Linked DNA regions of Macaca mulatta. The protein of the gene in region 4 interacts with the protein of the main gene of each other region in a pairwise test. Links are inferred from orthologs where the notes say so. Each region holds a gene or a part of one and is shown on either strand. Other genes may lie near its edges. The genes, in order: PALS2, PALS1, MPP2 and LIN7A.

The links.
Region 1: the proteins of LIN7A (region 4) and PALS2 interact in binary tests that used the Homo sapiens proteins (3 or more experiments, as listed by UniProt). The link is inferred for Macaca mulatta from reciprocal best matches to the Homo sapiens genes LIN7A and PALS2.
Region 2: the proteins of LIN7A (region 4) and PALS1 interact in binary tests that used the Homo sapiens proteins (3 or more experiments, as listed by UniProt). The two-hybrid records come from large-scale screens. The link is inferred for Macaca mulatta from reciprocal best matches to the Homo sapiens genes LIN7A and PALS1.
Region 3: the proteins of LIN7A (region 4) and MPP2 interact in binary tests that used the Homo sapiens proteins (3 or more experiments, as listed by UniProt). The two-hybrid records come from large-scale screens. The link is inferred for Macaca mulatta from reciprocal best matches to the Homo sapiens genes LIN7A and MPP2.

The regions. Positions count from the first base shown.
Region 1 is NC_133408.1:103,722,427-103,729,779, forward strand, and holds part of PALS2 (protein PALS2), read right to left. Parts: intron 6,237-7,353; coding exon of another isoform or gene 6,195-6,236; intron 4,522-6,194; coding exon 4,390-4,521; intron 2,522-4,389; coding exon 2,422-2,521; intron 2,092-2,421; coding exon 2,023-2,091; intron 1-2,022.
Region 2 is NC_133412.1:140,406,213-140,414,009, reverse strand, and holds the start of PALS1 (protein PALS1), read right to left. Parts: upstream 4,749-7,797; 5' UTR 4,659-4,748; exon of another isoform or gene 4,500-4,658; intron 4,174-4,499; exon of another isoform or gene 4,051-4,173; intron 1-4,050. UniProt on the Homo sapiens protein: Plays a role in tight junction biogenesis and in the establishment of cell polarity in epithelial cells.
Region 3 is NC_133421.1:68,312,363-68,320,157, forward strand, and holds the start of MPP2 (MAGUK p55 subfamily member 2), read right to left. Parts: upstream 5,403-7,795; 5' UTR 5,325-5,402; intron 1,812-5,324; exon of another isoform or gene 1,687-1,811; intron 1,290-1,686; exon of another isoform or gene 1,276-1,289; coding exon of another isoform or gene 1,088-1,275; intron 983-1,087; coding exon of another isoform or gene 902-982; intron 772-901; coding exon of another isoform or gene 747-771; exon of another isoform or gene 530-746; intron 1-529. Other genes in the region: PYY (peptide YY), read right to left, coding at 747-771, 902-982, 1,088-1,275. UniProt on the Homo sapiens protein: Postsynaptic MAGUK scaffold protein that links CADM1 cell adhesion molecules to core components of the postsynaptic density. In CA1 pyramidal neurons, required for synaptic KCNN2-containing channel function and long-term potentiation expression.
Region 4 is NC_133416.1:88,055,528-88,063,552, forward strand, and holds the start of LIN7A (protein lin-7 homolog A), read right to left. Parts: upstream 5,272-8,025; 5' UTR 5,060-5,271; coding exon 4,978-5,059; intron 4,771-4,977; exon of another isoform or gene 4,656-4,770; coding exon of another isoform or gene 4,201-4,655; intron 4,057-4,200; coding exon of another isoform or gene 3,873-4,056; exon of another isoform or gene 1,278-3,872; intron 1-1,277. Other genes in the region: uncharacterized protein LOC114670904, read left to right, coding at 3,873-4,056, 4,201-4,655. UniProt on the Homo sapiens protein: Plays a role in establishing and maintaining the asymmetric distribution of channels and receptors at the plasma membrane of polarized cells.

The DNA.
Region 1 (7,353 bases), on a different chromosome or scaffold from region 4:
AAAGTGCTGGGATTGTAGGCATGAGCCACTGTGCCTGGCCCAGTAAATTATTTTATATCTTGCTTTAAACACCTGGTCCATCCATTTGCCCTTAAAAATTTGTCTAATCGGGCCAGGCATGGTGGCTCATGTCTGTAATCCCAGCACTTTTGGAGGTTGAGGTGGTGGGATCACGAGGTCAAGAAATCGAGACCATCCTGGCCAACATGGTGAAACCCTGTATCTACTAAAAAAATACAAAAAATTAGCTGGGCATGGTGGTGCGCACCTGTAGTCCCAGCTACTCGGGAGGCTGGGGTAGGAGAATCACTTGAACCCAGGAAGTGGAGACTGCAGTAAGCCGAGATTATGCCACTGCACTCCAGCCTGGTGACAGAGCGAGACTCTGTCTCAAAAAAAAAAAAAAAGAAAAAATTAGTCTGATTAATCAAGCTAGAAAAATTCTATGTTTTATCCTTATTTATCAGAGATTCTATCCACTGAAATCTATTATCAATTTGTCAGTAGAAATCCTTTAATATAAATAATCAAATTACAGACCAGTTTATATAGAAAGTATGTATCAAATACAGAGGACAGGAGCAAACCTAGTGTGGTTGCTTAAGTTCCATGGAACGAGTGACCTTCCAATTATATAAATGAATATTGTATGGCAAATCTACAATTATCAGTTTGATTAGAAAATTCAACATACTGACATTTACTGACAACATACATTTAAATATTAAGATTTTGAAATTTACATATAAAACAAATTTTAGATACACTGTTTTCACTAGAAACATAATCCAAAAGTATAATCTTAGTGGGCAAATTATGAATTTTCTATTTTGCAAAAAAAGCCTTATGGGCATATATTTTATGAAGAATAGGGCCAAAGTGATGATTTGAAATATTATATTACCTGTTGTTACTGTAACTCTCAATCTGTAGTAATAACACTCCTTCCTTAGCTTATTATCCTAATAGCAACTCTTTCTTTGCACAATTTCCCCACAGTAGATTAAACCAATATTAAGAGAAAACAAGCCTACTTCTGCCTTCTATATTATTTTCTTTTAGGGTGTGCTGTTTAGTTTATTACCAGCATAGAGGTAGCTCTGAAGTCAAGAAAGTACTTTTAAAATTGCCAACTGCTTTGATTAAGCCTCCAGAAATTTCTGATTCATAGAGCTGCTTTTTACTCCTGTCATCCTCTGCAACTGGGAAGAATAAATATAGTAGTTTCCATTCTTTCCCTTCCTTCCTTTTTATTTATTTATTTTTAACTTCAAATGAGTAGCCAATACAGGTCTGGGGTTTTATTCTAAATTGTTTTTAAAAATCCTTTCAGCTCTACTGAGGTATAACTGACAAATAGGAATTGTATATGAAGTGTACAACTTGATGTTTTCATGAATGTGTACACTGTGAATGATTACCTCAATCAAGCTATTAAACATATTCATCATCTCACACAGTTACCATATCTTTCTTTTTAAAAATATTTCTTTCTCACACAGTTACCATATCTTTCTTTTTAAAAATATTTCTTTCTGCATGACTAAAAGATTTAAGAAGGAATTCTATTATATCAGACCAAGATTCATGTGGTCCAGTGCTATTTTTCTAAAAGTACCATGGTCAGTGTTATAGCAGGATACAGTTGCCCTTAAACATAACTCTTTTAACATCTTGACAAAGGCATTCTACCCTTTAGAAATGGCACATAAATTACTATTTCAAAATTCTCTGGACAAATAGTTTCAATTATAATACTGCTTCTTCATTAAGACAAGTAAAAATCCTAACCAATTTGTTTTGTTATAACTATACTCACAAAATAAAGCACATCGTAGTATATATAATGCCAGGATTTAAATAATTTATATTATATTGCACCATGTGTTCATATGCCAGTCCCTTGCAACTAGGTACTAATCTGAATTACATTCACTTAAAGCTGTATATTCAGAGTTTATGCCACACTAAATGACATATAGCTACTTCACTTGGACTTCTCAAAAAGTATTTAAAACCTACCTGCATTTCTGGTTGTGAGATACATCATCTTCTTCTTTTTTTTGCTACTTATAGTTCCACAAAAAGGTCCTGAAGGATGATAAAACAAATATAACTTAAGTAGTATGTCAGAACATGAAAAAATTGCCCTGTAGTATTTTATAGGGGTGGGAGAATTATCTTCCCAATGTTGCATCCTAGGAAGCAAAAGAGGGTGGGGGTGAGTTAAGCCACTGAATTTTGATACTCTACCAGCAGGTGGCAGAACGGGATCAAAAAGATTACTTATGAGAGCTAAAGTAGAGGGAGGGATTCATTCTAGACATATTTTAAATAAATGCATTTGCTTATTTAGACAAGAGAGACAAAGAAAGGTGGTCACAAAGGACTGCTTGTTACTTATTTTGTCGAGCTCATCACCTGAATTGTCCCAGTCTCTTCTAACAAATGCCTTTCTCTTCTCTTCCAGGAACTGGCTTGGAATGAGACCAGCGCTTCCTCCCTCTTTTACATGGCTAGCCTAGAATCAAATTAACGAATTGTATATCTCAGTGACCAAAATTTGAGACCATATTCTATTAAGTAGGACAAGCAGTGGTCAGTTAAAAAAAGTCATATTTGCTTTTAAAAACAACCTTGAGATTTACATCCATAGCATTGTCAGTTAAGATACTTAAACAATTCAGCACTGAGGAATCAATTGGCACCTAAAATTCTTCATATCTGATATCTGGTAGTGAAATTTGGGGACCAAAATACAAGTTAAATTGCTTAAACTTCTTATTTATAATACTAAGTTGGAAAAGGAAAATAAACGCTATTCTATAATAAGATGTATTAACACGACATTTTATCTAGCACCCTTTAAAAGACATTTACTGTCAACCTTAATCCTACTATGTTGGTATTTCAGGCCAAATCAAATGAAAAGGAGATACTATTTGGAATATAAAGTGTAGATTTTAATCTATGCTACCAGGAGTATGAATATCCCAAGAGTTTGTAAATTTAAACTAGGCAAAACTTTACCTAACGTGAAATAGCTAACTTTTAAAATAAGCTCCAAAGAAATATTTTAAAACAGTGGCTGGAGAACTGGCTGTTAGTGATTTATCTCACAAAGTTAGTATTTCTAACCTTACAACTAGCATAGAAAATCTAGTATAACTTTTAGCAATTAAAATCCTGAAAAACAGAATTAAAGTAACCAACCATCAAAATGCAGGGAGAAATTGAGAGAAGAATTGAGGTTAGAAGAGAAAACTAAGAGATCACATTCATAGGAAAAAGAAAAAAGAAGGAAAACTAGAATAATTCAATAAAGGACACAGCCACAGAGAGATTTTTTAAATGAGGGATCTAAAAAGTTCAGGGGAAACCTCTTGAAATCATAGATTGTTTAATTTACCCATTTCTTAGCTGTCTCAACACACAGTGCACCTATACGCAATAATGTCTTAATTTAAAGGACACATTAGTAAGACTGCTCTCATTCTGTGATTTGTTTCTCCTTAGAAGTAGATCTATATTTTAGAGCTAATGTGAGTACCAATATCTCAGTTAATTTTAGAATTTGGTGCTAAGTCCTGGATCCTTTCCTCTTACTTCTTGTTCTTTAGTAAAACTCTCATTTGCTTTGATAGTTTAAGGCATTTCAGACTTCCTGACTTGTCAGTTTCTCCAGTTCTGAATACTGTGGTTGTTAGCTAATATAAACAATTACAAAAACAGACTTATTACTGCTGCTAGGGGTTTCTGAAAGCTACATGAGGAGAAGAAAAAAGAATACCATTAAACAGATCTTCTGAAAAAAGGAGGGAAAAATGCAGTGATAATACACATCTCTTTCCATATACACGGATTTTAATCTAAAACCTAACAAAACTGATAGAGTGAATCTCCATTTCCCAGTATCTGAGAAGAGGTGAGCAAATAGACATTAAGACCTTAAGAAATTATGCTTTACTTGCTATGAACGAACATGAGGGAGAGGAGACAAGAGAAAGACCTACTTCATAGTAAAAGACTCCTACTTAAAATAAACAAAACCCAAATATCTTTTTAAAAGGGATGACCCAAGTGAGTTCTTCTTGGTCAATAGCATATTTTAATGCAATTACCCATGTGAAAAAAACCAACTGGTCTATTCCCTAAACCAACTGGTTAGTGCCACAGGCTGGTTAATTCTGCACTTATTAAGAGCTACTTACAAATTCCCTCCCAATTTGATCTTATGTCCACAAAATTAGTAGCCATGAAGCAGGAGCTGTTCATGTGGGAAAAATCATTGTAACAAATGCTAATATTCTTCCTGAATATTCAGATATTAACCAGATCTAAGATTAAAATTAGAAAAGTCGTTGAGGAACTTCTGAGAAGCATACTAACCTGCCACCAATTTGGATCTTCTCTATTTACAATCTGAAGAATTTCTCCTTTGGAAAACTTCAATCCTGCTTCTTTGCAAGGTATTAGGTTATCATTGTATGGATTATAATCAAAATGACACTTCACAAATACCTAAAACACACAGCACAATTAAAAATACTATAGTTATATCACTTCCACTGAATTTAAAAAATCCTTGTCAAACCACTGATTTAATTGTAACTGAAAATGTATTTAGTACTTCAGATAATGAACTTGTCTCTCATAAATGGAAATCAAGTTATTAGAATATTAACAGATTTTGGTATCAAAGATAATAAAACTTCATCTCTAATATCTAACTTTAAATCAACAAGAGTTTGATAATCATTCTATCCCACCATTCTTCCACTTTCCTTCAATCTTTTCACTTGATTTTCCAACCAACACTGCATAATTCTTAAAGCAAGCAAATGCTATGATCCAATTAACATCCTGAAATAATACAGGTAGTTGATTTAAGGTTTATATTTCAGATGTATTAGAACTTTGTGAAAAGGCCCTGAAACCAAAATTAAACAATAAAAGTTCATGTCGAAGTCAGATATGAAATATATTTGGTAGTCTTAAATACTTTTCTTGAATCATCTTGCTCTGATTTATATGCTCATTTTAAATTTAAATGATCAACATTAAATTCCATTGTAAGACAAATACTGAAAAAGTCTTGAAACTATTTTCCATTTTAAATTCATTTGTGTACATACATTTCTTTCACATTTGCTTTATTAATAAAAGTATGTCAGTTTACACTGTTAGTTATGATCTCCAAAATTGGGACTATTTGGCTTATTTGCTTTAATTTAAATTCTAATTAAATTATGCATTTTTGGTATTTGATGGAAAGTTCAGACCAATTGCTTTCTTTTTTCTTTTTTCAGATAGAGTCTCACTCTTTTACCCAGGCTGGAGTGCAGTGGCGTGATCTCTGCTCACTGCAACCTCTGTCTCCCAGGTTCAAGTGATTCTCCTGCCTCAGCCTCCCAAATAGCTGAAATTACAGGCATGTGCCACCACGCCTGGCTAATTTTTGTATTTTTAGTAGAGATCAGGTTTCACCATGTTGGCCAGGATGGTCTCAAATTCCTGATCTCAAGCGATCTGCCCTCCTTGGCCTCCCAAAGTATGGGGATTACAGGCATAAGCCACTGTGCCCAGCCCAATTGCTTTCTTAAAACAGACTTGTTTTATACATATTTATAGAAATTCAAATGTTATCTTCTAAAGAACTGCCTTAGCATTAATCAGCATGTAAACTGTAATAAGCAAGAAAGCACACAATTAGTCAAAATAACAATGTTCTTTTTCTATTTGTTTATCATACTTCTGTAACCAAACAAAATTCAAATAACACAAGTAGACATATTATATTATTAGTGTGGTAAAAGTACTGTGATCAATGCATACAAAATAATTTTAAAATAACTAAATCTGGGAACATGTAATAAAATCTTAGTTATTTATAATTAGATGATTTTCACAGAAAGCATTCAGAACATTTTCAACTACTCTAGAAAAGCTAAATATTAATCCTTAAATCAGTAAGTCAATAATTTTTTTTCCTGATATATAATTTTAGATCTAAAAAGCAAGCATACAAACATTAAGATTGCTAAAGTGTGACAATTGGCTAACTTGATAATGTCATGCAGCTCCATGTTTTGAAAACAGGAAAAAACCAAAATAATTAAATTTAATCAAAGAAAATTTAGTTGGCTAAGACAGAAAAATGAAGTACCAGAGAATGTTCTGGAATGACAGCATACCTGATGGATCTGTGCTGGATGCCTCTCCATACTGATGCAACTCTAAAAATATATTTGTAATTGCATAAATAAAGCCAGACTTTTAATTTATAATAAATTAAGAAAATATAAACAAACTACTAGACCATTTTATTACTTCACTCATTTGGTAAGGCAACTACCTCCCTAATTAATTGTCCACAAAGTATAATACCTGCAAGTTACAAATGATAGAACAAAAAGTTAAAGGTATTTGAGATCAGGCAGAAAGAAAGGATTGGTATGCAAAGTTATAAAAATACCTGCATACTCCTTACTTCTCAAGAAAGATGCAATGATTGAAGAATAGCAAGAGAATCCTGTCATCTAACCACGAATGTGATTACCATTCTTATGTGTGGAACAGAATATATTTTGTAACCATAAAGCTCAGACTTTACAAGATAGTCCAAATTTCAAATATTCATTCCTCCAACATCCATGGAATTGTTATGGACATGCCATTATTTGTGGAATACAAACCACATCTCTCAAAGGTAAAAGATTTCTAGAATAATTTCTATTTTTTTTTTCATTTATTAAAGTAGTTTTAGAACATTAGTCTTAAGGTCAAAAACTCAGATTAACCTGATTTTACTTTGAACTTCGAAAATTTTTCTGAAAAATCAATTAACCCAACCTTTGATCTAACCATTTTGTAATGACTCTAAAACCATTAAAGATATGACTAGACTTAGTATAATTATATTTTATTAAATGCAATTTAAAGTGTTGCACTTACAGGCTATGGATGTTAACTGCTCATTCATCATTAAGAAATGACTAAACACCACCTACTAAAATATCTATTTCATATTCTTATTACTAAAAACAACTGAATGACCAAAACAATTTAAAGTATAAGGAAAAGGAAGTACAAATGGCTTTTAAGCATAAGAGATGTTCAACAACCTCATTCAGAGTAGAAATACAAATTAAAACTACTTTATTAACACTTTTTTCCTATCAGATTAGCAGAAATCCTTGTATTTTATAACCTTCTATAAAAGAACTGTGGGTTAATAGGCATTTTCTTTCTAAAAGGCTTGTGGAAGAATGGTTCAACCTCTTGGGAGGCCAATTTGGCAATAGCTATCAAGATTACAAACGCATAAACCCTCTGACCTAGTAATCCATGTCT
Region 2 (7,797 bases), on a different chromosome or scaffold from region 4:
AACTGGACAAATAAATGAAACTCAACCTGTACTTTTCTCATTTTATATGAAAATAAACTCAAAATGGAACATAGATCTAAAAATAAAATTACAATATAAAACTTGGAAAAAAAATAGGATAAAAACCTCTCTGACCTTGGACTGAGCAAAGAGTTCGTAGATACAATATTCGAATTTTAAAAATTAATAATTTGGACTTTCTCAAAATTTAAAACTTCTATACTTCAAAAGTAATGAAGTATAAAAGTTATGAGGATGAAAAGGCAAGCCAGAGTGGAAGAAAACCTTCGTAAATCACCTATCTGACAAAAGATAAAGGACTATAAAGAACTTTTGGGGCAGTGGCTCATGCCTGTAATCCCAACACTTTGGGAGGCGGAGGCAGGAGAATCACTTGAGCCCAGGAGTTCTGAGACCAGCCTGGGAAACATAGTGAGACCCCATCCCTAAAAAGAAAAAAAAAAAAAAGGAAAAAAGAATAAGATAATAATAAATTCAGCAATAACAATCCAATTTAAAAATGGGCAAAAGCTTCAGACACTTTATCAAAGATAAACAGATGGCAAATAAGTACATGAAAAGATGCTCAACATCCTCAGTCATGGGGGAAATGCAAAGAAAAATCCCAACGAGATACTATTAAAATGGTTAAACCTAAAGACTGACCATACCAAGTGCTGACAGGAATGTAAAGCAACTGGACCTCTCATATATTGCTGGTGGAAATGCAAAGTGGTTCAGCCACTTCAAGCACAGCTTGACAGTGTATTAATTTCCTATGCCAATGTAACAAATTGCCACAAATTTAGTGGCTTAAAACAACAGAAATTATTTTACAGTCCTACAGGTTAGAAGTCTGGCATATGTCTCCCTTGGCTAAAATTACTGGCAGGGCTGCTTTCTTTTCTGGAGGCTCTAAAGAGTAACCCATTTCCTAGCCTCTTCAAGAGTCTAGAGACCACTCATATTCCTTATTTGTGGCCTGCTCTCCTCCATCTTCAAAGCCAGCAACTCTGCACTTCTCTGACCATTGTTACATCTTTTTTTCCTGACTCTACTCTTCTGCCTCTCTCTTTCCTTTTTTTAAAGATTCTGTGACACACTGGGACCACCTGAATAATCCACAATAATCTCCCTAAAGTCATCTAATTAGCAACCTTAATTTGCCTTTGCCATGTAAGCAAACACATTCACAGGTTCCAGGGACTAGAATATCTTTGAAAACCTTTATTCTGTCTGCCACAGATAGGTCTTTTTTTTTTCATTTTAAGATAAAAGTAGGCTATACCTACCACATTCCATTTACTTAAGAGAAACAAAAACTTAGGTTTACACAAAAACCTATTTGCAAAGATTTACAGCAACTTCACTCAGTCACAAAAACCTGAAAACAACTCGAATGTCCTTCAACTGGTGAATGGATAGGTGATGGAACTGTTCTTTACCTTGATTGTGCTAGTTGCACAGCTCTCTGAGTTGGAATTGTACAATGAAAAGAGTTAATTTCATTTCATGTAAATTAAATATTTTTTAAAGAAAGGAAGCAATTATATCATTTCTCATCCCTCAGATTAGCAAAAATTTTTAAATCTTACAATGCCAATTGTGGGCAAGGACATGAAGCCACTGTCACTCATACTGTTTGCAGGAATGTAAATGGCTACAGCATTAAAAAGGATAATTTGGCTGTAGCTAGTAATGTTGAAAACGCGTATCAACCTATTATCAGCAATTCCACTTATAGGTAGGTATACATACATTCTAGGAAAGCCTCCACACATGCGCTCAAGGAGACATGCACAAAGATATTCATTAAACATTGTTTGAAATATTAGAAAACTGAAAACTCTTCAGTAAGGAAATGAATTGCAGTTAGTGGTTACTAAAAAAGAAAAGGGAAAAAATGCATGACAGAAAGAATCAACCCTGCCTGTTAAGTGATTTGGAGAAGGCAACTTACTGGTTTAACAATAAGACATCCTGAGAAGAGCAGTGAACTTAGAATATGGAGACAAGCATTTTAGCATTCATGTAGTTCCAAGTCTGCCACTAACTAGCAGTCAGACTACGGATTACTTAACTCCTTCAACCCTCACTGTCTTTTTCGTGGAAAATGAAGAGGTTAAGATTACTTCTAACTCAACGATCCTATGATTCAGTAAATATATGACCAAAAATTATAAAGGCCGGGTGTGGAGGCTCACGCCTGTAATCCCAGCACTTTGGGAGGCAGAGGCGGGCGGATCATGAGGTCAGGAAATCGAGATCATCCTGGCTAACACGGTGAAACCCCGTCTCTACTTAAAAAAAAAAAAATACAAAAAATTAGGTGGGCATGATGGCGTGGGCCTGTAGTCCCAGCTACTCGGGAGGCTGAGGCAGGAGAAAGGCCTTAACCCGGGAGGCGGAGCTTGCAGTGAGTCGGGATCGCGCCACTGCACTACAGCCTGAGTGAGATATATGTGTGTGTGTGTGTGTGTGTGTGTGTGTGTGTGTGTGTGTATTCTGGCGGGGGGTGTGTGTGCGTGTGTGTGTGTATTCTGGCGGTGGCCCACGCCTGTAATCCCAGCACTTCGGGAGGCCGAGGCGGGTGGATCACCTGAGGTCAGAAGTTCGAGGCCAGCCTGGCCAACAGGTGAAACCCCGTCGCTACTAAAAATACAAAAATTAGCCGGGTGTGGTGGCAGGCGCCTGTAGTCCCAGCTAGCTGGAAGGCTGAGGCAGGAGAATCAGTTGAACCCGGGAGATGGAGACTGCAGTGAGCCAAGATCGCGCCACTGCACTCCAGCCTGGGCAACAGCGAGACTCTGTCTCGCAAAAAAAAAAAGAAAAAGAAAAAGAAAAGAAAATTATATTGTAAAGCACATATGTCAAGACACTATTTTTTCTAGACACTCTGAAATCAGAAAATATCAGAGAAACAGGGCATCTCAGTATAACCTATTAAATTGATCAAGTTTCTTGGAATGTGTGATAAAATTTTATTTTTTAAATTTTTTCCATGACAGCCCTCAGGAGATCCTGAAAACATGTACCCCGTGATGAGATTTTTAATCAAAACCATAATTCAAGATCATGTAAAAGCTAAATCCACTGTACTGACTTGGGTCACCCTCAGGAAGAACTTATATATTCTCTCCCGTTTTAACATTCTAAAACAAGTTAATGTTAATCAATCCACCTTAACTTGTCAAGTTCAAGTCCGTCTAGCCAAAAGTAATTCAGGTACATGGTAAAATTTACTCGATTTTTAAAGATTAAATAATGAATTGCTTTTCCTACTGTTGCCTTTTTTATCTATAAATCTCTTACATTATAATTTAATAGCTCATCCTACTGCAAATAGAAAGCCTATAAAACCTATCCACAATACGCTATGTCCACAGGGATCTAGTAAAAAAAAAAAAAAAAATCGGTAGTTCTTAATTCAAGGACGCTTATTTAATAAGTTTCATTACCACCAATACTTTAAAGACACCAATAACCAACACGTCATTTGTTCCTACTGCAGAATTTAACAGGTTATTAACTTCTGGTAAAATCCAAAAGCATAATTAGTAAACTATCATTAAAACATGATATTGTTTTTTTAAAAAATCGGAAATATTAACACCTTTCACTGTGTCAAATCAAAATTTCAAAATTTTTGTTCAACTGACTTTCCGAATCTAAATTTTTACTATTCTAAACAAGTATGGAGACAAAACACACACTCTATACTACGTCTAAAATCTTCCCAATCATCAGATTTTAATTTTAGCATAAACTGCCAAGAAAAACCTTTCGACCGAAACTTACATTCCATACACATTACTGTACGTCAATCAACAGAAGGTGAGTTATGATCATTAGAAAGTTACATAATTTACTACAAAGATCGTTTCAAGCAACCTTCATTAAACATAGAATACAACAATGTACAGGCTTCAAATTCAACGTGCAACCTTAAATTATCAGAAACCATCAACAAAATTAGGCTTTTCTTTAAAACTGGTCACAAGGAAGCAGGAACTGTTTGCCTGTTTAAGAACGCAATAGGCAGCAGAATACCAGCAGCTGAGTCAGGCAGAGGAACGCTGACTACATTCTGACTTCTAAAGGAAAGCGTTCCCTCGCCGGATTCCCAGACCCGGCCGGGGGGAGTCCCGCGCGTCGCGACATCGGGGCGGGAGCGCAGGGGGCAGACGACTCCCCGCCGCGCCCCCTGCACCTCGGGCCCGGCTGGCTGTGGCCCGCGCCAAGGTGCATGCCCAGCCAAGCAGAAGGAGCGGGCACCGCGCAGGCAGCGTTGCTCCGAGGGACAAAGGTTGGGCTCACACCCTCCACCGCCGAAGCTGCCGCGCCTGAGGAAGCCCGCCTGGCGGCCCGGGGTCTCCCGCTGGCCAGAGTTTGAGCGGCGTGTGGGGGAAGGGGAGCCCGGCCGCCCCTCCCCCGCCGCGCTCCCGGGGACCTGTTGATTAAGATCTCCACAGCCCAGCCGCCGCCGAACCACCTCTTACCTCCGCGCCTCGGCTCCGCGGAGCCTCCCGCCCGGCTGCTCCTAAGCACTGCAGAAGCGACAGCTCTCCGGCGGCCCTTAAAATACCGGATAAAGAATCCAGAAACTCCCGACTCCCCACCTCAGAATCCTTAGTCCCCGCCCCCGCCCCACCGCCAACCTCCTCCGTCGCCGCCGTCGCCGCCGCAGCCGCCAGCAACTCCACTTCTAGACCGCGCGAGACCGGCCCCTGCGGCCGCCGCGAGACCGCGCACGCGCCCCCGGGACTCTGGCGCAGCGGGCGCGCGGATCCCAGTCCCACCCCGCCCGTGAGAGGCTGGCGCGGCTCGCCCAATCCCGAGCCGGCGCGGAGAGAGCGCCCGGTCATTGGTCCTCTCCACAGCTCCCGCCGGGTGCGCGCAGTCGCGCGCCTCTAAGTCTAAAACCCGGGCTGCTAGGAGCTGGCTGTCCCTGCGGAGCCGCTTCGGGGTTTGGCCCGCGGGCTGTGTGGGGACGCGAGGCTTCCCTGGGTTTCTACATCCCTTGGCTGTTCTGTCTCTGGATGACGGCTCCTGAAGAAAATCCGAGTCCTCCTGAAGAGATTCCTCATGTCCTGTCTAGTTAGTCTCACAATCTAACATTTCTTTTTTTAAAAAAAATGACGTAAACACCTGGATGTGTGCAGTGTTCCACAGAAGACTCCAGAAAGCCACCAGCAGCACTGACTTCTGAAAACCAGAAAGCAAGGATGGCAAGGACTAGAACTATTTCCCAGAAGTCTCCCGAAGGGACAGAGAGTTACGCAGACCAGCCCATGTCCCGGGCATGGCTGGCGCCCTCGGGACCTGGATGTGCCACCCTTGGAATGGGGCAGGGCTCTGGCGGGTGCGGGCGGAAGTCAGAGCAGATTGGAGTACGTTCTAAGGAGAAATACCAGCAAATGTGTCTCGACACTTGCAATAAAAGCCCTCGGATGGTCTCTGTCTTGACAGTACCTTCCGAGGAAGCCCATCCCACCTTTGAACCCTTGCAAGGTTTGTTAATCGACCTCTCCTTCTATGAGGCCAAAATATGCTTATGATTCCAGCCGAGGTGTACGGTTTCCCCCAGGGGGCATAGTCCTCCCTCAAAGCCTTCGTATATGCCATTTCCATTTCTCTCGGTTTTCCTCATTTTGTCCCACTGTGTTTTTCCATCTCGCAACGTCCTCAGGTCCTGACTTTCAAGTTCTTTCACATTCTTCCCCATTACGCTCCTCTGGACAGCCTATGGATTGTTAGTGTCCCTCACTAAGGACACTGTGATGCTCTGAACGAAGCAAACTATTGTTCGTGGTGGTGAAGATCTTTGGGGATGCCTACCCTTCCCAGATTTGTTATCCCTCTCAAATCTGATAAGCATTCTGTCCAAGTGTTTAATAAGACAGAGCTGAGGACAGAAGTCTGCTGTATGCCACTAAAGACCTTAATGCTCCTGTCATCAAAAAATTTCTCAGTAGGCTTCGAATACAGATGGACGACACAACCGAACTGTCTTCTTGGCCCATATTCCTCCACAAAGATGCCAGAACTGGCGAAATGCCTAACTGAAATCCAGATAAAGTCTCCAGGATTCCTAGAAACTATTAGCCATACCCCAAAAGGAAAAAAACGGTTAGTGTGTTTGACTTACTTCCTTTTCTAAGTTCGTTTGTTTTTGTTTTTGTTTGAGAGGGGGTTTTGCTCTTTTGTCCAGGCTGGAGTAAAGTGGCACGATCTTGGATCGCTGCAACCTCTGCTCCCCGGGTTCAAGCGATTCTCCTCCCTCAGCCTGCCCAGTATCTGGGATTGCAGGTGCCCGCCACCACGCCCGGCTAATTTTTGTATTGTTAGGAGAGACGGGGTTTCGCCACATTGGCCAAGCTGGTCTTGAATTCCTGACCTCAGGTAATCCACCTTTCTCAGCCTTCCAAAGTGCTAGGATTACAGGCGTGAGCCACTGTGCCCAGCCTCTAAGTTCTTAAATATATAACATAAATAATAATTCAAGAAGCTTCCTCCAGCTCCTCAATGAATTCTTCTTTCTCTAGCTTATATATTTCTCATCTTTGGCACTATTGACATTTGGGCTGGATAATTCTTGTGGGGACTGTCCTGTGCATCATAGGATGTTTAGGAGCATCCCCAGCCTCTACCCGCTAGGTGCCAGTAGCATCACCCTCCCCAATGTGACAATCAGAAACGTCTCCAGACATTACCAAAGCTCATGGGGAGAGATGGGCAAAATCATCTTCAGGTAAGAACTGCAGATCTAGCTGTTCAAAGAAAGGACCTCTTTGGAAAGATAGTATATCTTTATCCATAACTTCTAATCTCTTGGCCCCAGGCAGTTTTTCTTTTTTCTTTCTTTCTTTTTTTTTTTGAGACGGTGTCTCGCTCTGTTGCCCAGGCTGGAGTGCAGCGGCGCGATCTTGGCTCCCTGCAAGCTCCGCCTCCCAGGTTTACGCCATTCTCCTGCCTCAGCCTCCCGAGTAGCTGGGACTACAGGCGCCCGCCACCACTCCCGGCTACTTTTTTGTATTTTTTTAGTAGAGACGAGGTTTCACCGTGTTAGCCAGGATGGTCTTGATCTCCTGACCTGGTGATCCGCCCGTCTCAGCCTCCCAAAGTGCTGGGATTACAGGCTTGAGCCACCGCACCCGGCCGGCAGTTTTTCAAAACAACAAAATACACACACAAAAAAAGCCTCCATCCAAATGAACCCTCCAAGTACCTAGCCTTGCTTCCTCAGCTGCTTAGATACCGTCACAGGACCCCACCCTAATAAAATGATTATTATTGTGAGTGTGAGATAGCAGACCAGCTGCTTATCTCAAAATATGTGAAATTCCTTTTTAAAGTGCTATAACAATTCAGAAGGGCATTTTTTCAGGAAAAGAAGTGCTATAAAAATGTTAGTTAATGGCCTGGCATGGTGGCTTACACCTGTAATCCCAGCACATTGGGAGGCCGAGGTGTATGAATCCCTTGAGCCCAGGAGTTCAAGACCAGCCTTGGCGATATGGCAAAAACCCATCTCTACAGAAAATACAATATTAGGTAGGCATGATGGTATGTGCTTATAGTCCCAGCTACCTGGGAGGCCGAGATAGGAGGATCATCTAGGCCTGGGAGGCTGAAGCTGCGGTGAGCTGAGATCATACAACTGCACTCCAGCCTGGGCAATAGAGTGAGACCCTGTCTCAAAAACAAAAGTTATTTATCCTAAAGATATTTTCATGTTAAAAGAGGGCAGATCCTACAGCAAATAACAAATCTACTCTCTAGTGGGTCAGGTGCAGT
Region 3 (7,795 bases), on a different chromosome or scaffold from region 4:
CTCTTCCTCCAGCACACATACAGCCATCTCACCCCCACACAGCTCGTCCTCCACAGCCCCATTTTGGATCACACTTCACCTCCAGCCACTCCAGCCCTGGGCGCTAGTAATACAGCTCCTGGGGAAGTTCCCCAGTGTGTTGGTGCCCGACTCGTCCCCCAGCCATCTTTGGCTTCACGGGGTGGGGGAGGGACAGCCCTGACCCCATCTGCTCTCCTAGGCTGCCTAGCAGGCTCCCGTCCACGCTCCCCGCCCTTCTTCCAGAGCTCCATCCACCCCTGCCCCAACTCGACCAGAGTTCCTTCACAGCAATTCCTGGTCTGGGCGCTGTCCAGCTCCAGGCTGGGTGGTCGAGTCTTCCCTGGGCTCCGAGAAGAGGGAACCCCGCCGCCCGCCCCAGCCTTGTCCTGGGGCGCCTCTGTCCAAGTCGGTTTTCTCTTCCCTGACCCCCACGCCTCTACTCTCCACTTCCACTGGACGCCACCTCCACGAAGGAGAAAGGAAAGGAAGTACAAAGGCACACATTCCGTTTCTGTGGAATTTGCTCTTTATTTTGGGACCACGGAAGGACCACACACAGCCCTCCAGCCCAGGGGGCGGGGGCACCGAGATGCGGGCGGAGGGCCGCACCCGAACCCTGCCCAGACGCCGCCGTCGGGAGGCAGAATCCGGGTTTGTGGGGTAGGGAGTGCTATGCAAATGAGATGGGCGTGGTTGGCAGATCTCCCAGGAGGCCTCAGGGGTCCTCACCACAGGTCTGGGACCTCCGACCTGCGGAAGCGAAGGGGAAGGAATTGGATCTCGGGTAGGCGAGCCTGGGAGACGTCGTAAGTGATGTTGCCAGGGTGGGGCCAGGCCGCGCTCTCGGAGGCAGGATGTGTGGTGACGGGGGCGCTTTTACCGCGACCTGATGGGGCGGTTCTCGCCGTCGGGGAAGAACGTTTTGGAAAGGAGCGCGTCCGGGCCGTCTCTTTTCCCATACCTGGGGGCGGGGCGGGAAGAGCGTGGTCAGATCTGGCCACGCCCCCAGGTGGAGCGGGGCCACAAAGTGAGAGCCCCAGGGGTCCCGCTCCGCGACCACGCTCACCGCTGCCGGGTGACCAGGTTGAGGTAGTGGCGCAGGGAGGCGTAGTAGCGGCTCAGCTCCTCCGGGGAGGCGTCTTCGCCAGGAGCCTCGGGTTTGATGGGGTAGGCGTCGACCAGAGCCCCCAGGCAGACGAGCAGGGCCAGAATCACTGTGGCCAAGGCGGGCCACGGCCTGCGCACGAGCACCATCTGGGAAGGCGATACTGGGGGATGGGTCATTCCAAGCCTCGACCCTCCAGGGCGGGAGGCTGCGGCTGCCGTCGGGGCCGCGCTCCGACGCTCTTCCTGGGGCTGGTACCGGACCAAGGCTCAGCCACTGGCTTGCTGTGTGTTCTCGGGCACTGCACCGTCTCCTGACTCAGTTTCCTCATCTGTGAGAGGGGCATAAGCCCTGCCTGCCTCCCCACCCCCACTCCCGCTGCTGCCCAGAGAGTTAGTTGCTGGCAACGGGACTCCCAGGCCTCCTTCCCACCTCCAATGGCCCCCTCCAATCCAGTTTCCTACCACTCACCCCCAGCTTCCACCACCCATCCTCAGTTTCCCCACAAAACACCCTGGGTTTCCTGGTAGCAGACCATGTTTGAGCCCCCAGCCACTCACAGCGATAGCTTGTGAAGCAGATGAGCAGGAGGTGGAAGGCGAGGAAGTCCCAAGGGCTGCACTGCAGCAGGTCAAGCTGAGGCCTCCTCTGCTCAGCGCTTTCCTTGTGGGGCTTATATCCCCGCCTAGAAAGGGAGGGGGAGTCCTGGGGGAGGGGGAGCCAGTAGGGGGTGGGCCCTTCTTCCTCCCTCCTTCCACCCTCGCCAGATCACTGAGCTTATACGCAGCCAGTGTGTGATGTCTCCACCTCGCAGGAGCTGAGGGGGCAGCTGCCATGCTCAGATTCGGGGTCTCACTGGATGGGGTACCCAGCCTGAACCCCATATTCACCCCACAGCCCCCCAGTGGCAGGTCTAGTCTCCTGAGGAAGTGAAGCGGTTGGGTCTAGACTCCTGGGGCAGCCGCTAAGACCAGAGTTGAGATTCTGTCTTCCCTAGCCTGTCCGTGGGTGGGAGTTGGGGGTGGGAGGGTGGACACATTCCCTCCAGTCTGTGGGATCTACGACCACTCTTTCCAAAAGACGACCCTTTTCAGCCTCTGCTCAAAGGGTTTGGAGAAGGGCTGAGGAGTGACAGGACCTCTTGGGGAAAGTGTCCTGGAGACAGGGTGGGAGCACCTGACCTTGGCTCCTGACCTGCAGTTTATGGTGTCTTGGGGGAAAGGCCTCTCTGAACACTCCATTATGTCCTCTCTCTATTAAAGAGTTGGAAGAGAGGCAGGCGGAGGCAGAAGCCAATCCCCCCACCAGAAGCAGCTGAGTTGGCCACCTATGTATCCAGACTGGCACACACAGACCCCGGTCCAGCCATGTGTGGCATAGAGCCCCCTCCCAAGGCAGAGTGTCTCCACCCCTATGCAGGTGTCATTCGGGGCACTGGTGTCTTCTGGGCCTGAGTGATGCCAAGGCTTCCCAGGCACATGCCACTGTCCCCGGCCCATGGCAGTTTCCACTGGGCTCTAAGCCCAGATCCTTTGAAGGAAAGGACTCATGTTTATTAAGCACCTACTGTGCACCAGGTAGTGCGTAATTTCAGGCATCACAAGACGATGAACTGAGTGTATCTCCATTTTCCAGATGAGCAAACTGAAGTCCTGGGAGGTGATGGAGCAGCCAAGGTCACCCACGATTCAAACAGGAAAAGGAGGGTGAGGCAGACCCCAGGAAGAGGACCTCTCAATTGTGAGGGGCAGAAAGGCTCAGCACCTGGAGTAGCCATTGGGGCGCCAGAGGCAGGCCTGGGAGCAGGGACCCGAAGACTAAGCCTGGGGCCCACCACCCACTCTGAGAGGCCAAGTAGGGGAAGGGCCTCCGGACTGCCAACCCCCTCAAACCCACCTGCCCAGGAGGAGAAAGGGCTGTGGGAAGGTCTCCCCATAAAGTCCTTCCAGCTTCCTCTCCCTGGCCCATGGGGGCTGACAGGGCCAACTTGTCCAGGCCCTTGGTGCTGAGCCAGCCCCTCCAGCCCCAGGACAGATGGCTGTTGGCGCTATTTTTAGAGCTCTCCTGAGATGGGGAGTTCAGGGCTCTCTGTCACCCTTTTATGGGTTCAATCACCTGCATTCTCCGGAAATGGCTCCTTATCAGCCAGTCAGGCCCCGTGGGACTCCACATCCCAGGAAACACCAGGGTGCCCTGCTGAGCATGGGGGTGGAAGAGGACACCAGGACAAGGGGACACAGATCCTGCCCTTGGAGGGAGGAGAAAAATCATTCCTTTTAGGAAGCCCTCATCCAGGGGGCAAGGCACACCCCTGTCCTTTAAGAACCCCAGTCTCAAAGGAGAGACATGGTCATGTCATAGGGGAGCCCTAGTCTGAGGGGTTCCCAGAACATAGATACAGAGACACAGCCTTTGTCCTGTTTGGAGGGGAGACAGCGGAAATCAAAGAATTCCATTCCTCCATGGAAAGACAAAAGACAGGCGCTCACCCTAGGATGGAGGGGGCAGTGGGGGCTGGTTAGGACATCTGTGATCCCAGGGGTCAGGGCCTAGAGAAGGACCCTGCAGGCTAACAGGGGCAAGGATACCAGAGAGTAGGTATTTGCTCTTCTGATCCTGCAGCACTAACCCTGGTGGTTGTAGGGGGTTTCTAGTGCACCGATCCCAGGCAGAGAGAAGAAGGAACCTGTGAGATGGCCACAGGGAATCTGACATCCCTGGAACCCTGTTATGTCTTGGGGAGCGTGGAGTCCAAGGACAGATGGGAAGAGAGGACAGACACTGTAGAAGCTAGAGGGCATGGGGTGGCCTAAATTCAGGCTACAACCTCTGAAGAAGTCACTTCCTCATTTATAGCCAAAGTAAATGGGCCCCTAGGTGGTCTCAGTGTGGACCAGGAGCCAGCCGCACATCCCTGCAAACCGTCTCTATCCATCATACCCCCACCCTCCAATCTTAGTCCCCAATTACAGGGCAAGCTGATTGGTTCATTAATCACCGCCTCCTCATTGAAGAGCTTATTAACTTGTTGATTAGCGGGGAAGATGTCTCAGCCCTCGATCAATGGGCTCAGCCACCCCCCATCCACACACCCACACCCATCATTGCTGCATGACTCAGTGGCCATGAGACATGTCTGCGGTGTGAGGGGGGAAACTTCAGAAACAATCGTTTTTGTAGAAGTGATCCCAGGTCCCAAGTGAGACCAGGACCTGCCTCCAGTTTGTCTTTGAAGGGTAGGGGACAGAATCAAAGGGGGAGGGGACAGAATCAAAGGGTTCCTTTGGTCCCCATTCTGAGACCACCTGGCAAGGCCACCCCAAGTCAGGGAGACCATGGACCTGGACCCCAGCCAACAATTCTCCTTGTCCAGTGGGCTCAAGGGCCACTCATCAAGATGGTGTAGCCTCTGCCATTCATCCCCAGAGGCTTAGAATTCTGTACCCCATCACCCACCTGCCTGTACCCACTCCGCACACAAGGCCTCTCTTTGATCACCATGCACTGTGCAGCACTGCTCCACTGCTTTCCACCCTCAGGCATTTCCTTATGCCCAGGGTCCTGCAGACAGCAGGTTGTCATACAGCAAGTGTAATTCAGGCCAAGTGTGGTGGCTCAGCACTTTGGGAGGCCCAGGCGAGTGAATCACGAGGTCAGGAGTTCCAGACCAGCCTGGCCAACATGGTGAAACCCCATCTCTACTAAAAATACAAAAATTAGCCAGGTGTCATGGCGCGTGCCTGTAGTCCCAGCTACTTGGGAAGCTGAAGCAGGAGAATTGCTTGAATCCGAGAGGCAGAGGTTGCAGTGAGCCAAGGTCGCGCCACTGCACTCCAGCCTGGGTGACAGAGCGAGACTCTATCTCAGAAAGAAAATAAAAAGAGTAATTCAATCCTCACACAATAAGCACTTATTAAGTCCCTGCTGTGTGCCAGGCACTGATCTAGGCACTGGGATAGAGCAGTGAACAAACAGGCAAAATCCTTGCTCTCATAGAGCTCACATTCTAGCGACAGGAAATAGAAAATAAATAAGCATGGAGGCTGGGTGCGGTGGCTCACGCCTGTAATCCCAGCACTTTGGGAGGCCGAGGCAGGTGGATCATCTGAGGTTAGGAGTTCAAGACCAGCCTGGTCAACATGGTGAAACCCTGTCTCTACTAAAACTACAAAAAGTAGCCAGGCGCGGTCGCGGGCACCTGTAATCCAGCTACTCGGGAGACTGAGGCACAAGGATCACTTGAACCCAAGGAGCGGAGATTGCAGTGAGCCGAGATGGTGCGACTGCACTCCAGCCTTGGTGACAGAGTGAGAATCTGTCTCACATAAATGAATAAATACATAAATAAATAAGCATGAAATATGTCTGGTAAGTGCTATAGAGAAAAATGAGAGCTGGCTGTAGGGGCTCACATCTGTAATCCCAGTGTGCTGGGAGATCAAGGTGGGAGGATCACTTGAGCCCAGGAAGGAAGTGAGGAAGCAAACCATGAAGCTACCTTGGGAAGAGTGGGGCGTGGGTTTAGGAAACAGCAATGCCAAGAAGGAAGGGATTTTCACTTTTGATGGTAGGAGCTCCCCTAGGAGCCCTCCCTCTTACCTGAAGCTTCTGCAAAACAGTAACAGATACCTATGGTGTGGTGCGTGCTCAAGGCTCAGGCTTCGCTCTAGAACAGAGGTAGGCAAACTCTGTAAAGGACCAGATAGCAAATATTTTAGGCTTTGTGGTCCATACAGTTTCTATTGACACCGTTAGGTTCATCCACTGTAGCTTGAAAGCAGCCATGGAATACACCAAAAAAAAAAAAAAAAAAAAAAAAGGGCATGGTAGTGCTTCAGTAAATCTTTACTTACAGATGTTGAAGTTTGAATTTTATGTAATTTTCATGTCATAAAATTTTTTTTAGTTTATTTTAACCGCTTACAGATTCAACCACTTTAAAAGCCATTCTTTTCATTATTATTGAACTCAAGGGATCCTCGGGCCTCAGCCACCCCAAATGCTGAGATTATAGGCATGAGTCACTGTGCCTGGCCTAAAAGGCTTTTTTTTTTTTTAATTTGAGACAGAGTCTTGCTGTGTCACCCAGACTGGAGTGCAGCAGCATAATCTCAGCTCACTGCAACCTCTGCCTCCCGGGTTCAAGAGATTCTCCTGCCTCAACCTCCTGAGTAGCTGGGATTACAGGCACATGCCACCACGCCTGGCTAATTTTTGTATTTTTAGTAGAGACGGGGTTTCACCATGTTGGCCGGGCTGGTCTCCAACTCCCAGCCTCAAGTGATCTGCCTGCCTTGGCCTCTCAAAGCGCTGGGATTACGGGTGTGAGCCACCACACCTGGCCCCTAAAAGGCATTTTAACCCATAGAATGTACAAAAACAGGCCCACAGAGCTATAGTTTGCTGACTCCTGGTCTAGAAAAGCAAGAACTCAACTACCTCTGGGTTGAGTTGTCTGTTGGTTGGATGTGTCCCTAGCCTGTTTATGCCAGGTGTATTCGTCATTGTAATCATATAATTGAATTAAATATTATATAAACTGATGAAATATGAGTGCATAAAGAATTGTTTCCTTGCAAACTACGTTAAGTGCTTTGGAAGTAATACACAAAGAGATTTGCTGACATGTTGAATTAGGTGTGAAAGATAAACTATTAAGGGAAAATCCTAAAAATCTAGACGTGTGCTACATCAGATTGCTTCACAAGTGTCTTTAAGTTTAAATAAATTGGAAATAATAGGTGACAAATTATAGGATTGTGGGTGTGATTTATGCAAGAAAGTCAAAGGCGGATTTGAGTCAAGATACCCAAAGAAAAATTTGTGCCTGAATGTGTATTTTGTGTTTGAAGTCAAAACAAAGTGACTAAGACCTGTATGTGTTTTTATGACTGCCTACTTAAACTGACTTTTTCAAAACACTGGTCAATGACTCAGACCTGTTTATACCAAAACAAGGGCTTCTCCAGTACTTTATATATTTCCAATATAGTTTGAATGTTTAAAGGGTATTTCTATTTAATGGCTTAAATAGCAACCAAAGAATTTTTTAAAACCCATAAAAATAGGCTGGTTGCAGTGGCTCATGCCTATAATCCCCGCACTTTGGGAGATCAAGGCAGGCGGATCACCTGAAGCCAGGAGTTTGAGACCATCCTGGCCATGTCGAAACCCTGTCTGTACTAAAAATACAAAAGTTAGCCGGGTATGGTGGTAGCACGTGCCTATAATCCCAGCTACTTAGGAGACTGAGGCAGAAGAATCACTTGACCCTGGGAGGCGGAGATTGCAATGAGCCAAGATCGCTCCGCAGCACTCCAGCCTGAGTGACAGAGCGAAATTCCATCTCAAAAAAAAAACAAAAACAAAAACGAAAAACAATAAAAATAAAATGCTGGTGTGTGTTGCGAAGCCTGAAATCAGATACTGTGAGGGTCCCTGGGCTCCAGCCCCTGGGAGTTCTGTGCACATCCCCTCCACATGAGTGCTCCTGTTCTCAGATGAGCTCCTGTTTGAATCCAAAACTTTTTCAAGGGCCCAACAGTCTCAAGAGGCCTGTGCTGTAGGTGCAGAAACTCAAGTCCTGAAAGAGGTATGGATTCAAGGAGGAACAGTTCTGACCTATGTCAGACACAGTCGGCTCCCTTATTCACCAGGCCCTTGTGGACT
Region 4 (8,025 bases):
ATTAGGGGAACAGAGTAAGCAAAAGTAAAATTTTAAGAGTTATTTTGTATTATCTTCTCTGACCTCGAGATGAAATGTGAAGGAGAATTGGAGCTACCATACTTTAGAAAGTCCCTAAATCCATGCGGTCTTTAATTCCTGAAGCATTTCTATGTTCTTTAATATCCACGTGTTAAGTATCAAGGATTGCATTCTGCTTTGTTCCCTTGAGTTGAGCTGAAGGTCATTCCTGGTTTTAGAGATTAAAATCTGAGCAAACTAACCTCTGATGTAGAGAAGAGTTGCTACGAACATTTTAAAGTCTGGAAGAGAAGAATTCCACCCTAATCTCCTTATCAGTATCTTCTCTTTGTTACAAGGGTAAATGGCATGTACTACTTTCTATACCACTGTCTAACATAAAATATTGGACTGAAAATGAATATATCTCCTATTATGACCACTTGGATTCAACATGTAGATTTATGCATAGTGACATGTAAATTACAGTGCTCAGTATATTTCTGAAAATCTAATTATAATATATGATGTTTTAGTCTTGCAATACAAAGAAGCAAAAAGCTGATCTATAGATTTTCTTGGCATATATAATTAAATTTCTACCCCAGGATGCATAATTAATGTGTTATTATTTCTTGGTAATTTCAGTTTTTAATCATTTTCTTGGTTATAAATGTATAAACTGAATGACAGACAAGTTGTGACTGTGGACCTGCTTTTATGTATACTCTTCACTCTCTCCAGAATCTTAAGGATCTTACTAATCTAATATACCAAAACACAGTTTAAATTTTGCTTTCTCAGTGAGCCTTCCTCGACCAATGCTAACCAAACAGGCCCTTCTCCATTATTCTCTATTCCAACCACATGTTTATTTTCTTCAGAGCACTTCAAATTTTCAAATAATCTGAAATTCTAGTTATGAGTTACATCAACTGACCCCTGGCTACCAACTTCACGCATCCCATTTTTCATATTCTTCCCTCTCTCACTTTTCACATTGACCTTCCTGGATGTTCCCAGTATGCACAGGAGTTCCCCCTGCTGAGGACATTTCCCCAGGTATCTGCAACTTTGTCTCCTCACTTTCTACAGGGCTCTTCTCAAATGTCACTGACTCAGGAGAGTGTTCCCTTACTAACACATCTAAAACAGCAGCCCCCATTTACAGCACTCTCATTTACCCAGTTTTATTTCTTCTCCTTGGCACTTGTCGTTGTATATGTATGTGTTCATTGTGTGACTCTCATTAGCATGCAAATGCCATTAGATTTTATTTATTTTGTTCATTAGCACTGGCACAGTGTATAAAGCAATGTTTGGCATAAGTCTGGTGCACAATACTTATTTGTTAAATTAATTAATTAAGCCCTTACTTATCATCCGTCTCTTCCATTAGACTCGTAAGGACCACAAAAGCAGGAACTTTTGTTTCTGGTATTCCTCAAGCATCTTGCATATAGTAGGTGAAAAATGAATGTTGAATGAATTAATATTTGCCTCTGTGTGTATTTTAATCTCCCTCTCCTAGTAGGTTCTAATTACAGTGAAAAGTAGAATTATATCTTTTTATCACACCAGTGTGTACCAATTCCATAATAGGTTCTGGCTTATGATAGGTACTCATTAAGTGAAGGATATCAAGGACTGGGACCAAAGTCAACAAGAACTTACAATGACCATAGCCACCCAGAGGACTTTACAGGGTTGATCTCAGGTCTTAATGGCAGATCAAAAAGAGTTTTGGATAGGCACAGAGCCATGGAAGTCTGAAATCACCTTGTTCATCCTTTTGGGGCCCAGCCTGGACCTTGAAAAAGCTTACTTCCCAGAGCAGACCCAAGAAGCTAGGTGGAGACTTCTGAGTTTCTTACTTTCAGATATATCTTTCAAATTTGGAAAGCAGTAAATCTTAATTTTGATCCCTAGCTTTGATTTGTTTGCTTAAAACGTTCGCCCTGAAGACTATATCCATGTATGATGTCAAAGGGTAGCAAACAAAAAGTAATTCAATTTTAACATAAAATTTCCACTAAACAGAGCAACCTTGAAAACATCTCTTATCTTCACTTTTTCATGCTTTTTCATTTGTAAAATGAAGATACCAAAAAAGAACTAGCAGCTCTAAAATTATAGATTATATATTCAGATTTGCTGGGATGCCCTTGGGAGGCTTTGTCCATCACCTTCTTCCCTTCTTCTCCTTTGCCCACCTGCCACAATTTCTCTTGGTTAAATGTCACAGTTTTGGTGAGCTACTGTTACTGATGGGAATCCATCAAGTGTATAAGGGGAAGGCTAGGTTGAGAATCTCTGGCCTATGTTATCACTATCATCCTTTCCATGTCCAAAATACTGTGAATCTATGAAATGCACCTCAGTTCACTAGCAAATCACTATATTTTAACATTGCTTAAGTTACTGCTATCCTGAGTTTACTTACCCCAACTAAACATTAATTTTTTATTGTACTGTGAGTCAGGGACTATGGCAGACACTGAGAATTCAAAGATGAATTTAGAAATGGTCTCTTCCCTCAAGGAGTTCCATCCAATAGGGAGACAAATGCAACAGAGTGTGATAAATGCTTTAATGGGGCCAAAGCAGCAAGTCAATTTAAAGCATATCAAAGGGTACCAAAGCAGCCTGGGAGAGAGGTGATCTGGAAAATCTCCCAGTAGGTGACCAAAAACTGAGTCCTAACTCTAATTAATTGAATTATAGACTGCTAAAGCTGCACAGTGTTAGAATCATCTAATTCAAACTCCTGATGTGGCACAGAGAGAATCTGATGTCCAAAGAGGCTCATATATGCAGAGTGAGTATCAGAGTTACAACTGGGACCCAGATATGTAATACTGGGCTGCCTCTTTTAAAATGCACCTTTTTTTGCAGGGAAATTTTTAGAACCTTTTCTTTCATCAGTTTAATAATGAAAGTAATCAATTAATCATATTTTAATAAGGTACAGAGAACAATTATTTATTTATATTGACTTTATGCTCAGTGGTGATGCCAATAACCCATCATCTCTTGGTTATAGATTTTCATGAGCTGCTGGTGAATTTTTTCAGACCTATCCACAGGGTAACCCTGTTTGCCTCCTGAGCTACTCCATGGGCGTAATCACACTCAGAAGGACAAGTAGAGTTTGGTTGTGAACAAGAACAAACTTTAAGAATAAATCTTAGTCCGATTAGCACCTCCTCTCAACAACTGACTGAGGCATCTAAGGGCTAGGGTAAAAACCAAACATTGAAATATTTTTATTAGTAGTAGTAGTGGTAGTATATAAAATGACTCAAGTATGCAATCTTCTTGGAGTTTTTGCTCCTAATGTAGTCACTTGGTTTGGGATGTTTAATGACTGTGATTTTGTAATGGGACAATATAAGAGCACATCACATTAAAACATAAATACTTGGGAAGCCCATAGTTTCTGATAGCTTGCCATCTGTTTGGTTCTTACCGGCAATGGATTTATCCTGCTTAGTGCAGATGATGATATTGTGGGTAAGATCATGGATTATACAATGGATTTCTGAGGTCTTTAACTACTGTTATTAATTTTGCCAGCTTGCAAATCAACATTTTCTAATATAAAATCAATTACATTTTATTTTTCAACTCTTATCCTAAGAAAGGTTGCTATGGGCACCACATAACATCTGCTCTGGCGCCAACAGATTGCGTAAAGTCACCCACAGTCTCTTCAAATTAAAAACCTCAAACTGAGTTCACTGGCTTTGTCACTGTACTCCCAGCAGGATGCTCTTTTGCCTTGCCCCACCGTTCAGTTTAATCCTCTAGAAAGAAAATTTTTAGAGGTACATCGGACTAAATCATTTTTCTTCTGAGCACACAATTTCCAAATGGCCGCCCAGGGTCCTAAATCCGGCGGCTGCGGAGAGGGACTAGCGGGTGTCCTCCTCTGCAGAGCCGTGGGACTCGAGCGCCTTCATCACTGGACGTTGGAAGCCAGGAAGGAAACCCATACACTCAGGGACAGGTATAACCCCGCGCGGGTGCACCAGCGAGGCCCGGATCGCAGCAGAGGTCTCCATCCCTGAGCTTGGTGGGGGCGTCCTGGGGAGGAAGAGAACACTTTCCCCATTCGGGTCAGAGAGCAGGACTGACTGGGTCGCAGGTCAGAAGTTGAATTTTAACCCGACCTGCGCTTTGTCCCCGCGCCTTCCGCAGCCCGGGCGCCGCGGTGGCACAGAGCTGGGAGAGGACGAGAGAGGCTGGCGCGGGAGAAGCCGAGAGTTGCTACCGACTGGGAGCTGCCGGCGGCGGGAGCAGACGCGACCCTCGCCGCTTTCGAACGCGAAGCCGGGGAGAGCCGAACTCGGCTGCTGGGGCTCGGCTCCCCGCGCTCTGCCTTGCCCTTTCGGCGGAGGGCAGCTACCTGCCTGCTGCAGCCCCGCCACTGTGCGCCCGGCCGCCCCGGGGTGCGCCCAGCCCGCCCCCCGAGCGGCCGCCCTGACTCCAGCAGTTGGACCGACCCTCGCCCTCCGGCGCCTGGACAAACTTCCTTCCTCCCGCGCCCCCGCGCCGAGCAGGCTGACAGGCGGCTCCCTCGCCGGTCTCCTCTGGGCTCCGGCCGGGCGAGCTTGCTCTCTGCCCCTCTCCAACCCCGAGCCCCTGGCGCCTAGCCGTCCCCAAGCAGCCGCTCCAACAAAGCCAGAGGCCCGGAGACGACCCGGCGAGGGACTGGGAGTGGCAGCGGGGACCCTAGAGCCAGAAGGAGGAGTCCCCTCGGCGGGGCGAGTACAGTGGGAAGGGGCAGCGGGGATGTAGCGGGGAGAGAGAAGGGAAGAAAGTGTCCTGCTCTAGGCGCGAACGTCTTCCTGGCTCGTCCTCGCTCCCCTTCTCCCCCGGCCCGAGCGCGTCCCGTGTCCCGGTGGGAATTGGCAGGCGGGGGAGGGCGGAGGGGAGAGGGGACGCGGTGGCCTGGCTAGCGAGCCGCTCCCTTACCTCTGTCCAGGGTGAGCGGCTGGACCACTGTCAATGTCGCCATGTCTGCCGTGGGAGCCGAAGTGACGCTCGGCTTCAGCATCAGCAACCGCTCGTAGTGAGAAAAAAAGGAGGAGATTGGGGGCGGGGGTGGAGAGGGAAGACGGAAAGGAGGGGGAGGAGGGGGAAGAAAGAAGGTGGTGGTGGTGGAGAAGAAAGCTTGGGTGGGTTGGTAGCCAGATGGAGAGGCAACTGTTCCGCGGCGGCAGATCTTTCAGTTGCGGTGCGGAGCTGAGCAGGTATCCGAGAGCGACTGCATCGCCGGGCTCTGGGAGGGAAGGCTCTGCCCTGGAACTTTGCTATTCCACCCCCAGGAGCACTGGGTGGGTGTAGCTGGCGGACTGCTTTCTTTCAACTTTCCACTCTAATAAAATGGTCAGAATATACGTGTGTGCATGCGTGTGCGTGTGTGTCAGGGGAAGAGAGAGGATAGAAAGGGGATATGGGGGAGGGAGTGGGAGATGAGTTTTCTCAGATTAAGAGAAATTGCCAATCCAATAATCCCATCTCCTTTAGAGAGAAAATGCTTCAGTGTCAGAAATGTTTGGGATGCAATTACATTTGCAGTTAATTTCTGTTGAAGTTTTTCGGAATGTTGACCTATAACGGCATATAAAGATAACTGACTAAAGGCCAGAGTTCCATCAGTAGATGTTCATTTAGGATCTGAGTATATTGCCTGGAAAAAAAAAATATAGCAAACCTCTTAGAAGTGCTTCAAAATAAAAAGCATGGGGGTAAGTTTCTATCCCTAAGTTTTCTTTTCTTTTTCAAGCCACTGTTAATACATTACCAATTCAGTAAATGTAGCTCAGAAACAAGTAGAGTGTTCAGATTTTCTCCAAATTTTTTACATACCACGTCTTGTAAACATGTCCCACTCCCGCCCAGCCACTCAACAAAAACTTTGCTCTTAATGTCCAAACTGATTTTGGTTGTCTATCACTTAGTTTGAAAAATATGTGCCTAGCACTTTTCATGTTGATTTCTAACCAGTGGGTCAGAGATGTCACTTATTGATTAACAAATATGCCAGGAATTGAGATAGAAGAGTTACATTGCCTTGTGCCACGCCTTGATTTAGGAGTTCAATTTAGTCTCTGACTTCCTGTAGCCTGTAATCTAGTGGGAGATGGTGTTATTAAAAGCTTGACTTTAGAGCCAGTTGATCAGGATTAAATTACAAGAGCCTTCAAATACTGACTGTGACCTCTTCGCCCCAATAAAAAGGCTACTTTCACTATCTTGTCATAGTAGGGATTCATTTCCTGACATAAAGAAACCTTCTATAAGCTGAATAGGGGTGACTGTGGGTGCAGGATTGGAAATGACAAAGCTGCCTCCATCTTGTTCCCTGTGACAGAGCTGAATTGTTTGGGCTAGCAATAAACTCTAAAAGGCAGATACAGTTTTATAGCAAAATATTTGCATATAATTGATGCCATTTTCTTCTGATTACAGATATGGTTTCTGAAGGTCTTTTTCATTTTATAGTCTACAATTGAATTTTAAAAAGCAACATTTCACCAATGTGGGAAAGCCAAAGATGATTGGCCATATATAGACTTAACAGACCCTAAAAACAAACCTAAAATAGTAGTTCAATATGCTTATTTTTATTTAGTATTTAAGGAAGAATGCTGGTCTTGACATTTGAGTCTTAGTTATGTGCTCTTCAGAAGTCACACAATTTCTCACTGATCCTGTTTCCTCCTCTGTCATACGGTGAAAATATTATTCAACCTCAAAGAGATTCTGTCATATGAGGAAACAAATTCTACCTTGCAATCTCACTGAGATTTGTGAGGGACTAATGGACTCATACATGTGATTGTGCTTTGAAAACAGTAAAGAATATACAAATTTATTTGTACAAGCATACATCCCCTGGAGCCATGTGGTAAGCTCTGTGCTAGGTGCTAACCATGCAAAGATTGAGTCGGCCCACTCTGCCCAGTCTTGCTTGAGAGATGGTGAGCAAACCATAAACTTCTGTGCGGTAAGTACTCTAAGCATTATTGAAAGGAGGTGCTCTTGGAGGCCAGAGGTTGAAAAAGCAACTTTGGTTTGTTACCATTATTCACATTCCCTGAATTAAGCAACAGAAAGAAGTTGAGATGAGCTCAATGATACCAGAGTGTGTTCTAAGCTTTTGCATAAAATTATTAAACCTCACTCAGTAACTGAGGATAAAAGAACATACAGATCCCTTGACTTCTAATGTAGTTATTTTACAACATCCTTTATTAGGGAATATGTATTTAAGCAGCTTGATTCATCAGCCCAAAAGTCATAAATTGTACCTGTTCCAACACAAATCCCTGATTGTGGTGTCAATGAAGGTAGAGTTTTTTTGTCTTTTTGTTTCCTGATGCATCCTCAGGACCAAACATTTCATAGCGTATTTCTGGACTTATGCCTTGAGCTTCCTATTTGAAAATTTGCTCTGTCATTCTTTCTCTGTGTTGACTCTGTAGGGTTGTTGTTGCTGTTTTTAAATCAAGATTAAAAGAGAAATTAAGAGGAAGCATAAATCACCATAAATTCATCTGTTATTATTTTTAGTAGTGGAAAGTGCATTCCCTTTAGCTTATGTCTGCACAGGTATAGAAAATTTAATAATAATTCATTATCCATTAGATTTGTTTTTATCAAGAAATAATATCTCTCCAATAATATTTGTGAATTTCTTTTTGAGACATGCAGGGATATACTTGACTTAGTCAAATGCCATTTGCTTTGCTTTGTGTATTAACCTGAGAATTGTTAAAATATTTGTTAATTATGCTTTTATCTTAGCTATTTGATTACAAAATCACTACACTCTTTCATTAAATGATACGTAGAAATTTAGTTCAGTAGTAACTATATTTTCATGGCGTTAACTAGTTCAATAAATACTTAGTGAGCACGTATATGTGCCAGACTTGGTGCTAGGTTGGTCTCTCTTTCCCTTTCTTTCCAGCCCAGAAAAGTAGGTATGTTTATGCCATTTTGGAGATAGGTAAA